Linked DNA regions of Oryzias latipes. The protein of the gene in region 3 purifies or fractionates together with the protein of the main gene of each other region. This does not show direct contact. Links are inferred from orthologs where the notes say so. Each region holds a gene or a part of one and is shown on either strand. Other genes may lie near its edges.

Region 1 (4,443 bases), on a different chromosome or scaffold from region 3:
TTATGATGTTGAACCTATTGATAACTTAAATGAGGATATCAAATGTTTATTTTTTCTTTAGATTTTACTTATTCTGCAAACCCAAAATAAAACCACAAACTCGCTTCAAAGGTTTTCGCTTTTAGCAGAAGTTAAACAAATAATGTACACAAACACACTGCATGATGGTTGACAGTACACATAAAAAAGCACAGTTGTGAGGTTGTGATAACATGCCGGACATGAAGGACAAGGTGACAAACACTCAAGATAAACAAAAGCAACGCGGACTCGTCCAAACAGATATTTGCAGAGAAAACCCCAAGCTTCAGGTATTTTTCCAGCCACGTTTATTTTCCACGCCTACAAGTTATTTATGATAAATACATATTGAGTTATGTTTACCTGTAAGCACGTATGGCTGGACAACAATCCCAACAAAAAAGCGACTTAAACTTAACTGTCGTTAGAACAGATTATAATTTGCGAACACAAAAACGGTTAAAGATAGAATAAATTAAAAAACAAACAGCTTTCGTTATGAAATATTGCTAAACGTAACCACCTAATATTAGCTGTCAACCTAATTTAGACGTCAAGCTAACCGCTTGACAACGACGTCTCAGAGACGTGACGTATTTCGCGTGACACTTAATTTTAATAGAAAGAGGCGGATAAATATTTAAAAAATGAAGTTTTACCATTTTTTCTCCCGTTGGAGGCAAGAAAGATGCGAGCTGGGCGGTGCGTCGCGGGCCACAACAAGCCTGCAACCTCACGAACAAGTTAGCGTCCAAGCTAGCTTGATGCTAAAATCCAAGCTAGTTGTTCTTCCTGAATACAACGCAGAAACACAAACGTCTGTGTTCGAAGGGGAAACTCAGACAGTCGACATGCGGACAGTCGCCGCGTCCCATTCTTCTCCTTTACGTTCCTTGAAGGTTAAAAGAGAAAAGTATCCACCGCTGAGTCTGGAATAGCGTCAAACAAAATATATGGGTCCTCCCTACGAGGTAAACTGCGCGTGCCCGCACTGCGTAGTGACAGCGCCGCGGTATTTACGTACGAGATGGGTCCGGAAACCCGCCGCCGCGCGCGCATCTCGTGTCATAGAACGCAATTTACGTAGCTTTCATGAGGAGGCCACTGTTTCCACGTTTATTCTGTTTTGTTTGTTGTCATGCTATTTTTTTTTAGATTTGGTATATCTAATAAATAATATAATAATTTAAATCATAATATAGTTTTTACCGACTGAAAGCTTAATTTCTTTCTTTTCTTTAACGTGAGGACACAAAAAAGTAGCCTCTTAGTAACACATCTTTTCATTGGTATTAAATCGTATGCCGTTGATACAAAACAAAATAATAAAAAAAATCCAAACCAATGCAATACAATACAATATAGAAATATTGATTTCACTTCTCTCACTCTCAACCAATCAAACTTTAACAAACTTCACATGTAATAAATTCAGAGTGCAAACATGTCTTTTTATATTTAATAGTCATTATGAAGACATAAATTTATTTCACATGTGAATTTCTTTATGGTCTTCTCGTATTTATTTTTCAATCACTTTATGACAAAATCTTGGGAAAGATCTGACATCTGTATTCAATCTTTTTTGGAGCGTTTTTTAAGTGCTGTAAATCAGCCAACAGCTAATGTAATGTCTAATGTGACAACTTCAGTATTTTCACTAACCTTTTATGGAGAAAAATTAGACTGTGAAAAACGATAGAACTGTGTAGCGACTGTGATGACGGCGTGTAGACGCACGGGGGCGGTGATGAGCGGGAACGGATGTCGAAATAAGCCCAGAAGAAGAATGTCATTGTGTGGACTGTTGCCTGCTGTCCACGCTGTTAACCCTTTTTCCTTTTGCGTAATACTCACATTTGGAAAAGTATATAAACAAACCAAACATATTTAAATGGAGTTGTCGCTTTGTCCCGCCAAACCGTAGGTTTACGAAGCACGAGCGTCTAGCCTGACGTTTGTGAAGAAGCCGCTTGTTGTTGCTAAACAATCGAGGCAGAGCCGAAACTCTTAAGAAAACAGCGCTTTAGCGCCGCTTACGAGGTAAAGTCTCAATTTGTGACATAAAATCTTTTTTTATGTTTCGTCCTTTTCTGGTAGATTTCAGTGCAGTTTTATTTTACCCGAGTGTTATTTGAAAAGTAAACAGAGCTAAAGCTAGCAGCACTTGACCGAATCGTTTGTTAGCTTTCAACCCAAAATTAATTCATTTTTTTTATTAATTATTAAGCACTATTTTCTTTTGGGATTACTAAAGAAAATTTTTAAAATATGTACCCTTGAAAAACTGAATTTGCTTATGCTTTATTTATCATTTAACCAAAAAATCAGGAAAAGTAAGAATCAAGTCATTACACTTTATTAACCTTCAATTGATTTAAAAAAACTTTCTGTAAACCGAAATGTTGGAATAATATCTTTGATGGAAATAAATAAAAGGTTTAAACGTGTTAATTTAGTAGTTTAATGAAAAACATGTTTCTTTAAATCGTCTTTTACATGATATCATCGTAATTTAATTAAGTTATTTAAGGTAATAAGTCATGATAAAGTAAAGTTTCATCTAACCAGTAAAAGGTTTTTTTTTTTTTTTGCTTATTGTTTGATAAACTCAAAAATCAAATTAACGAGTAAACGTAAAAAATTAACTTTTCAAGACATATTAGGTCAAACAAAACCGAATTGTATTTTTTGTGATTTGCTTGTGCATTTTTCTTGAATATAACCGTCGTTTTGTTGTGTTTTAGGTTGCTAACTGCACAGTCAACAATACATGCAGAGACTTCTCCTCACATCCATCCAGAAGACTGTCTGTTTCGGTGGAAAACCTTCTGGCTCCTTTGTTAGACGTCAGCAGCTCTCTACTACGTGCAGAGTCGCCTTTTCCCGTTCTGCTGACCAGCTTCCCTCCAGTTTTTCTGCAAAAAGATTTTCACAGCAAACCTGTCTGTGTCACTCCACCCCCTCCAAACCCAGCCTCCCTCGTTTCTCCGCTTCCTGGCTGTTCCTGCGACGGCGTTTCTCTACTCGACCGGAAATGGCGGATCAGAGGTTCCTCGTGGAGTACGCCAAACGGGGCACGGCGGGCTGCAAGAAGTGCAAGGACAAAATCCAGAAGGGCATCGTGAGGATCGGCAAAATCGTGCCGAACCCCTTTAGCGAGTCTGCCGGGGAGATGAAGGAGTGGTATCACGTGAAGTGCATCTTTGAGAAGCTGGAGAGGGCGAGGGCCACCACCAAGAAGATCGAAGACATCACCGATCTGGAGGGCTGGGAGGAACTGCAGGATGAAGACAAGGAGCTCATTAACAAACACGTCTCAGGTATTCAAAATGACTTTCCAATGAAGAATCTGAATCTCATCAGGACTTCTAACGCTCGCCGGGAGCAGGCGGCTGGTTTAACAAGTCTGATTTACTCGACCGACCAGTAGAAATAACCTTAAGAAACAATGACTGCATGTTTGCTGTTGGCTTTATGTGAGATGGGATGCCGGTACTTTTGGTTTCTTTTGTGGCGTAAGAAAACTTGAGTGTGGCAGAAAAAGCGAGCTGGGATACAGACGGCAGGAAGGCTCGGCGGAAATGGAAAGTTTGTACAAACAAAATAATAGTTGAATATCGTCCAGAAAAAGTAAATGTAGCTGCGTGTCAACTTAAAGTAGCAGAAAGTGCAGTTCAGATTTGAAAAAAGAGAAAACTTTTGAGAGAAAAATAGCTTATTTGTGATACGCTGGGTGATCACAAACTCTCTGCTTCGAGCTCTGAGCAATGGGAGTCCATAACATAACTCTGATGAACTCCTGCCGCTCTGCAGAAACTATGTCCTGGAAAACAACACAGGTTTTGGATTTTGGCAAAAAAAAAAAAATCCTAACTGAAAGGCCGCCTGGAAGGCTTTGAAAGCTCATCAGATGATGATCGGAGCGGGTTTCAGGATGGCTTCTGTCCTGAACTGCTAACCAACATAAGGGCTTGAGAACAGGAGGGATGTTCTTCTGGTTCTGATCCAAACCCTGGCAGCAGCATCCTGCTTATTGAGGAAGACTGTTGCTGTAGTCCAGCCGGCAGGAACCAGCCTCTGGTTTGGCTGAAACTGGGTTCTGAGTCGGTTGTTCTGACACCAAGAACTGTTTTTCCCCCCCAGAGTGAGGCTCTTCTGTTCCTTTCAGTCGTTCCGTCTCGTTTCCAAAAACAATAACTGCTGTGTGTCGGCGCTGAAGGAAACCAGAACCGTAGCTCCTCTGAGCTGCAGACGGTGTGAAGGCCCACAGCGACCGGGAGTCGGCTACCGTCTGACACGTTCTTCATGGGGTTTCTACCATTTCACTTTTCCTTAGGATAAAAAAAAGTAGAAATAGAATAAAACGAATGCAGTGATGTCTTCACAATAGTTAGCAGATAAGGTAAGGAGTGTGTTTTG
Region 2 (3,653 bases), on a different chromosome or scaffold from region 3:
GAACCATGGATGGAGGAAGTGAAAGCTGAGAAAGTCTGATGTGGAGCCATGGTGGAACGTCTCTCCTCGGGTTAGAGGTTCCTGTATGTGATGTCATCAGTAATGTCATCAGTGATGTCATCAGAAAGTTCACACGGAGGTCAGACTGACGCGGTTCTGGATTCATTCTGGAATCTTTGATGTTTTCACCCCCATCATGCACAGCACATTCACCTTGTGTGAAGGTGAGTGCACGTGTGCGTCCATGTATGTGTGTGTGAGCATGCATGTTTTGTAAGTGTGTGCATGGATGCACATGCACATGTGTCCATGTTCATATATGTGTTGTTCACATGCAGATGTGTATGTTTTCGATGTGTCCAATACAAACAATGTGCAAGTATTTGTGTGTATGTGTTTATGAATGCTTTGTAAATGTGTGTGTGTGCATGCATTTGCACATGCATGTGATCATCCATATGTGAAAGTATGTGCGCACATGTGCAACACATGTATGTATGCATGTGTGAGTTTTTACATGTTAGCACATAATTATGCATGAATGCATGTGTGCATCCCATGTGGGAGTGCATCCATCTGTGTGTTTTTATCTGTGTGAGTGTAGGCATTCATTTGTGTGTGTGCACGTGTACCTGTGCCTGTGTGTGTACCTGTGCATGTGTGTGTACCTGTGAATGTGTGTGTACCTGTGAATGTGTGTTTACATAAAGATAAAGTGGAGATGAAGGGATGGCTGTCGATAAACCCATTTGATGTCTGTCTGTTTTTCTCCAGAGTTGTCATGCAAACCAATTGTTTTTCACTGATGGTTCTTGTTCTGATTGATTGTTCTGGTTTTTTATTGTCACCCATTGGTTGTGTGTTTGTATCTTTGAGCCTAACGTTGACGCTGCAAAAACCCCATTTCCCAAGCTGAGACCAATAATGCATCTTCATCTTATCTATCACTACCTGTGCATGTGTGCATATGCCTGTGTGTGCATGTGTGTGTGTTGTGCTTGTTTACTCTGCACAGATGCGTTGCTGCTCCTGCTTCAGCCGCTGGTTGTCCTCCTGCAGCTTCTGGTTCTGGTTCTGGAGGCTGTCTCCTCGCTGCAGGCTGTGGAGCAGCAGCTGCCTCAGCGCCTCCGCTGGCCGGAGCTCCGCCTCCAGGAGAGCTGAGCCTAGTCTGAACTGGAACAAATAAAAGCAGTTTGTGGATGTGGGCCTGCAGAACCGCAGATCCTTTAATCTTCTGCTTTCAGGTCTGCAGCCAGAAGACTCCTGGTGGATCTCTGACAGTCCAGACTCAGCTGTTTCCAGTTAAATGTGGTGAAAGCTGCTGTCTCTGTAAGACATTACTCACTAAAAATAAAATCAGCTCTTCTATTTGAAACTTGAAATCTAAACTTGGAGAAGTTGACAAAAACAGACCAGGATCGTTGTGGTCCAATGTCCGTCATTTATCAAAATGTGTGGTTTTTCCGTTGCTTTAAGGTTCAGTTGATGGTTCCGACTCAGGATTTGGTATGAATCTTTTTCCAGCATTTTAAGATTCCTGTTTTTGGGTTCAATCTGATCGATCTCAGCAGGTTTTCACGGTTAAGACAGAACTCTAACGGTGTGATGAAGAAGGAAAGGGGTTACAGAAAGAGAAAGAGGGGGGGGGGGGGTTACAAGTCTGAGGTGCTCCAGCTCTCCCTTTAGTCTGGAGTCCCCCAGGGCTCCGTTCAAGGGCCCCCCTCCTTGCAACATTCTTTTTTTTCAGTTTGATGATTTAGAAGCGTCTCAGCTTTTTAGCTCTCCTGACGGGTGGATCCTAAAATCCTAATCTATCCCTGAAAGTTCTATTTTAGTTTAGCTTAAATCTTTTATGTCACGGCCTGTTTTCGCGGTTAAAAAAAATGAGTTTAAACAAATAAGCCTTCATTTCTTTGAATCATGTTAAACCGGAAATCCAGCTGATTCAGTCCTTTTGGAGTCGGACCTCAAACCCTGTGACGGTGGTTCTGTCAGAACCGTTGGGGGTCCTCGGATCGGGACCACCTCAACCCAGAACAGAAGTTCTCTGTTTGGTTTTGTTTCTGCTCTTTTTGTTTTACAGCTGCCGCTAAACCAGTGCTTCCCAACCCTGGTGCTCGGGGAACAATGTCCTCCATGTTTTCCATGATGCCCTGCACACCTGACACACCCACCTGACACCCACCTGACACCCACCTGACACACACATGACACACACCTGACACACACCTGACACACACCTGACACCCACCTGACACACACATGACACACACCTGACACACACCTGACACACACCTGACACACACCTGACACACACATGACACACACCTGACAGCCACCTGACACCCACCTGACACCCACCTGACACCCACCTGACGCACACATGACGCACACATGACGCACACCTGACACACACACCTGACACCCACCTGACACACACCTGACACACACATGACACACACATGACACACACCTGACACACACCTGAGACACACCTGACACACACATGACACACACCTGACAGCCACCTGACACCCACCTGACACCCACCTGACACACACCTGACACACACCTGACACCCACCTGACACACACCTGACACCCCCCTGACACACACCTGACACCCACCTGACACACACCTGACACACACACATGACACACACCTGACACACACCTGACACACACACATGACACATACCTGACACACACCTGACACACACCTGACACACACCTGACACACACATGACACACATATGACACCCACCTGTCACCCACCTGACACCCACCTGACACACACCTGACACACACACATGACACACACCTGACACACACCTGACACACACCTGACACACACCTGACACACACATGACACACACCTGACACACACCTGTCACCCACCTGACACCCACCTGTCACCCACCTGACACACACATGACACACACATGACACACACATGACACCCACCTGTCACCCACCTGACACACACATGACACCCACCTGACACACACATGACACACACCTGACACCCCCCTGACACCCACCTGACACACACATGACACATACCTGACACCCCCCTGACACCCCCCTGACACACACCTGACACACACCTGACACACACACATGACACACACCTGACACACACCTGACACACACCTGACACGCACCTGACACGCACATGACACCCACCTGACACCCACCTGACACGCACATGACACCCACCTGACACACACATGACACACACATGACACACACCTGACACCCACATGACACACACATGACACACACATGACACCCACCTGACACACACCTGACACCCACCTGACACCCCCCTGACACACACACATGACACCCACCTGACACACACCTGACACACACCTGACACCCCCCTGACACACACATGACACACACACATGACACACACCTGACACACACCTGACACACACCTGACACACACCTGACACGCACATGACACCCACCTGACACCCACCTGACACCCACCTGACACCCACCTGACACGCACATGACACCCACCTGACACCCACCTGACACACACATGACACACACATGACACACACCTGACACCCACATGACACACACATGACACCCACCTGACACACACCTGACACACACCGGACACACACATGACGCACACCT
Region 3 (2,359 bases):
TAATGCAGATGAATCAGGTTTTTGAAGGTAATCTACTGAGAAGATGGGCTTCTTCTTCCACACGTACAATAGTTAGTGTTCATCTTGTTTGATGCAGGGTCAGCTTTTAGGGAAGTTCCTCCTGTTTGTGTTTACTAATAGCTGTTGTCTGCTCCTCATAGAGGAAGCTGGACTCCGCTGCCAGGCTGTATGACCCGCCGTCCGCCTCCCTCATCTCCAGTCTCACAGAAGTCATCGTTGCCGTCGGTTATCCCGCATGTGAGGCCCGCTCTCCGTCAGCCCTCACCCATGTCCCCTCCCAACAGCCTTTTGTTCTCACTCCCTCTTGTTTACAGCCGGTAAATCGACCTTCTTCCACGCCCACGTTATTCCAAAGGGTTACTTCTATGTCAACAGGGTAAGTGGAGTACAAAGAAAGGTTTTCACGTCTGAGAGTTTCTCCTGCAAGTATTTTAGGTCGCTCAGACATCACTGGCTGCTGCATCTCAACCATCGTCATCCTCTCATTGGTGTCTCAGGACACCCTTGGCTCCTGGCAGAAATGCGTGGCGGTGTGTGAGCGCGCTCTTAGCGAGGGACGCAGCGTTGCTGTCGACAACACCAACCCAGACCCGGAGTCGCGCAAACGGTGAAGCTCTAATCAGTTTCAGTTTGCCTGTTTGCTCCCAGCTCACCTTTCATATGAACCGGTTCCAAAACAATGACACACACACGCATGCAGAAATAATTACACAGGCAGGGTGGAGTAGTCTCCAGCTGGTTTACTTTAAGCTTTGATTTAAGCCGCTTAGTTCGTGGTTTGTGCTTCTTTCTATTGATTTAGGCTGATAGATTCTTTCTTAGTAAAATGGACTGTCTTATAGAGTGTTACTACTACTAACTACTACTTTAGCTACTTTAACATTAAGGAATCCTAATCATTTTTTAAACGGGTGAATTGACCTTAGGTCTGCATGTTGTGCAGGTATGTGGACGTAGCCAAAGCAGCTGGAGTGTCGTGTCGCTGTTTCCACTTCTCTGCTTCTCTGGAGCAAGCCAAGCACAACAACAGAGTACGACACCCCCCTCCCCACGCCTGACTTGGTTTCAGCTCTGTGACGAGCGCTTTTCACACGGATTTTCTGTCCTTTCCAGTTCCGGGAGATGGCTCCGTCTGACGGCAAACACGCCAAGGTCAATGAAATGGTTTTCCACAGTTACAAGTGAGTGAAGGCCTCTGAAATGTTAGTCAACACCCAAAAAGCCTCACTGGTGCAGAACAACTGGATGGAGACTATAGTTTGAAAAAGAAAACTAGAATTTGTCACATTTTAAAATGTCACTGTATTTTCTGCTCTTATATTGGATCAAAGAGATTCATAGGTTTTTTGTTCTTGCTGCATTTCTGCTTCATCCCAGCATTCTGACGATCTGTCTCCTCTTCTGCTCCAAACAGGAAACACTTCGTGGCTCCTGCTCTTTCCGAAGGATTCTCTGAGATTCTCCAGATCCATTTCGTTCCAAATTTCAAGGACAGACAGTCGGAGGTTCTGTTCCGACAGTTTTCTGAGGGCTGACTCCCCAAATAAAGGTCTATGTCTAAATGTTAAGTAAGCGACGGTAAATTCCAGCTAATGGCCTTTATATTGCAATGAACCTTTGTGCCGTTACTGCATGTTAACTGAACGACTATAGTTAAACTCATGACTGTACAACACAGTTGGATTGTAAACCTGCTGCCCTGACTGTTGGATTTGCTTCTTGTTTTCATCTCAGCGCTAAAATACTAATCATTAAAGCTTCCTAAGCCTGTTTCTGTGGTTTGCTGCCCTTTTTCCAGAGCTGAACGTTTACATTGGCCCCCCATCACCATCTGTCAGTAAAAGCTAAGAGGAAAATATTTGCCTTGGCCCCAGAAACAAAGCGGTTAGATGAGGTTTGAGGGCTTTGGTCAGGATTTATTCTAGCATGGCATCACTCTGCCTGCTTAAAGCTTTACCAACACTCTTTCTCTATTGATTCTATCGAAAAAGCCATTCAGTTTAGAGAGTAAAATACATTTTTATTCGTTTTTAGTTTGCTAATTAAAATGGACAAATCAGCTTTGGACCAGTAAGACGATGTTTAAATCTCTTACAGAGGAGTTTCTGCTTGGATGTTGCAGAAGCTCCGGTGTCTGTTCCATCCTGAAGCAGATTTATCTTCCCAGGCTCATCAAGGGTCAAACTCAGGCAGGAACTTGATCTCCTTGCCTGTATGTTCTTTCAACCACGGCATTATCTTGAAGAGATCGATGTGAAAGTCTCGGGCGTCTGGAGGGGGCCGGTTGCTGCCGTGGGCCCGGTTGTTACGGTCACAGATGTCCGTGGTGCCCCAGCTC

The links.
Region 1: the proteins of pnkp (region 3) and lig3 purify together in Homo sapiens (co-immunoprecipitation; 5 studies listed by BioGRID and IntAct, with this or other methods). This does not show direct contact. The link is inferred for Oryzias latipes from reciprocal best matches to the Homo sapiens genes PNKP and LIG3.
Region 2: the proteins of pnkp (region 3) and DNA repair protein XRCC4-like purify together in Homo sapiens (co-immunoprecipitation; 5 studies listed by BioGRID and IntAct, counting the BioPlex papers as one, with this or other methods). This does not show direct contact. The link is inferred for Oryzias latipes from reciprocal best matches to the Homo sapiens genes PNKP and XRCC4.

What each region holds. Positions count from the first base shown.
Region 1 is NC_019872.2:27,669,494-27,673,936, forward strand, and holds the start of lig3 (DNA ligase 3), read left to right. Parts: upstream 1-1,583; 5' UTR 1,584-2,064; intron 2,065-2,768; 5' UTR 2,769-2,794; coding exon 2,795-3,344; intron 3,345-4,443. Other genes in the region: tmem248 (transmembrane protein 248), read right to left, coding at 681-683. UniProt on the Homo sapiens protein: Isoform 3 functions as a heterodimer with DNA-repair protein XRCC1 in the nucleus and can correct defective DNA strand-break repair and sister chromatid exchange following treatment with ionizing radiation and alkylating agents.
Region 2 is NC_019870.2:1,165,147-1,168,799, reverse strand, and holds part of DNA repair protein XRCC4-like, read right to left. Parts: intron 1,174-3,653; coding exon 1,007-1,173; intron 1-1,006.
Region 3 is NC_019871.2:32,547,046-32,549,404, forward strand, and holds the end of pnkp (bifunctional polynucleotide phosphatase/kinase), read left to right. Parts: intron 1-161; coding exon 162-258; intron 259-335; coding exon 336-397; intron 398-518; coding exon 519-628; intron 629-964; coding exon 965-1,052; intron 1,053-1,134; coding exon 1,135-1,202; intron 1,203-1,435; coding exon 1,436-1,556; 3' UTR 1,557-1,791; downstream 1,792-2,359. Other genes in the region: complement C2, read right to left, coding at 2,194-2,359. UniProt on the Homo sapiens protein: Plays a key role in the repair of DNA damage, functioning as part of both the non-homologous end-joining (NHEJ) and base excision repair (BER) pathways.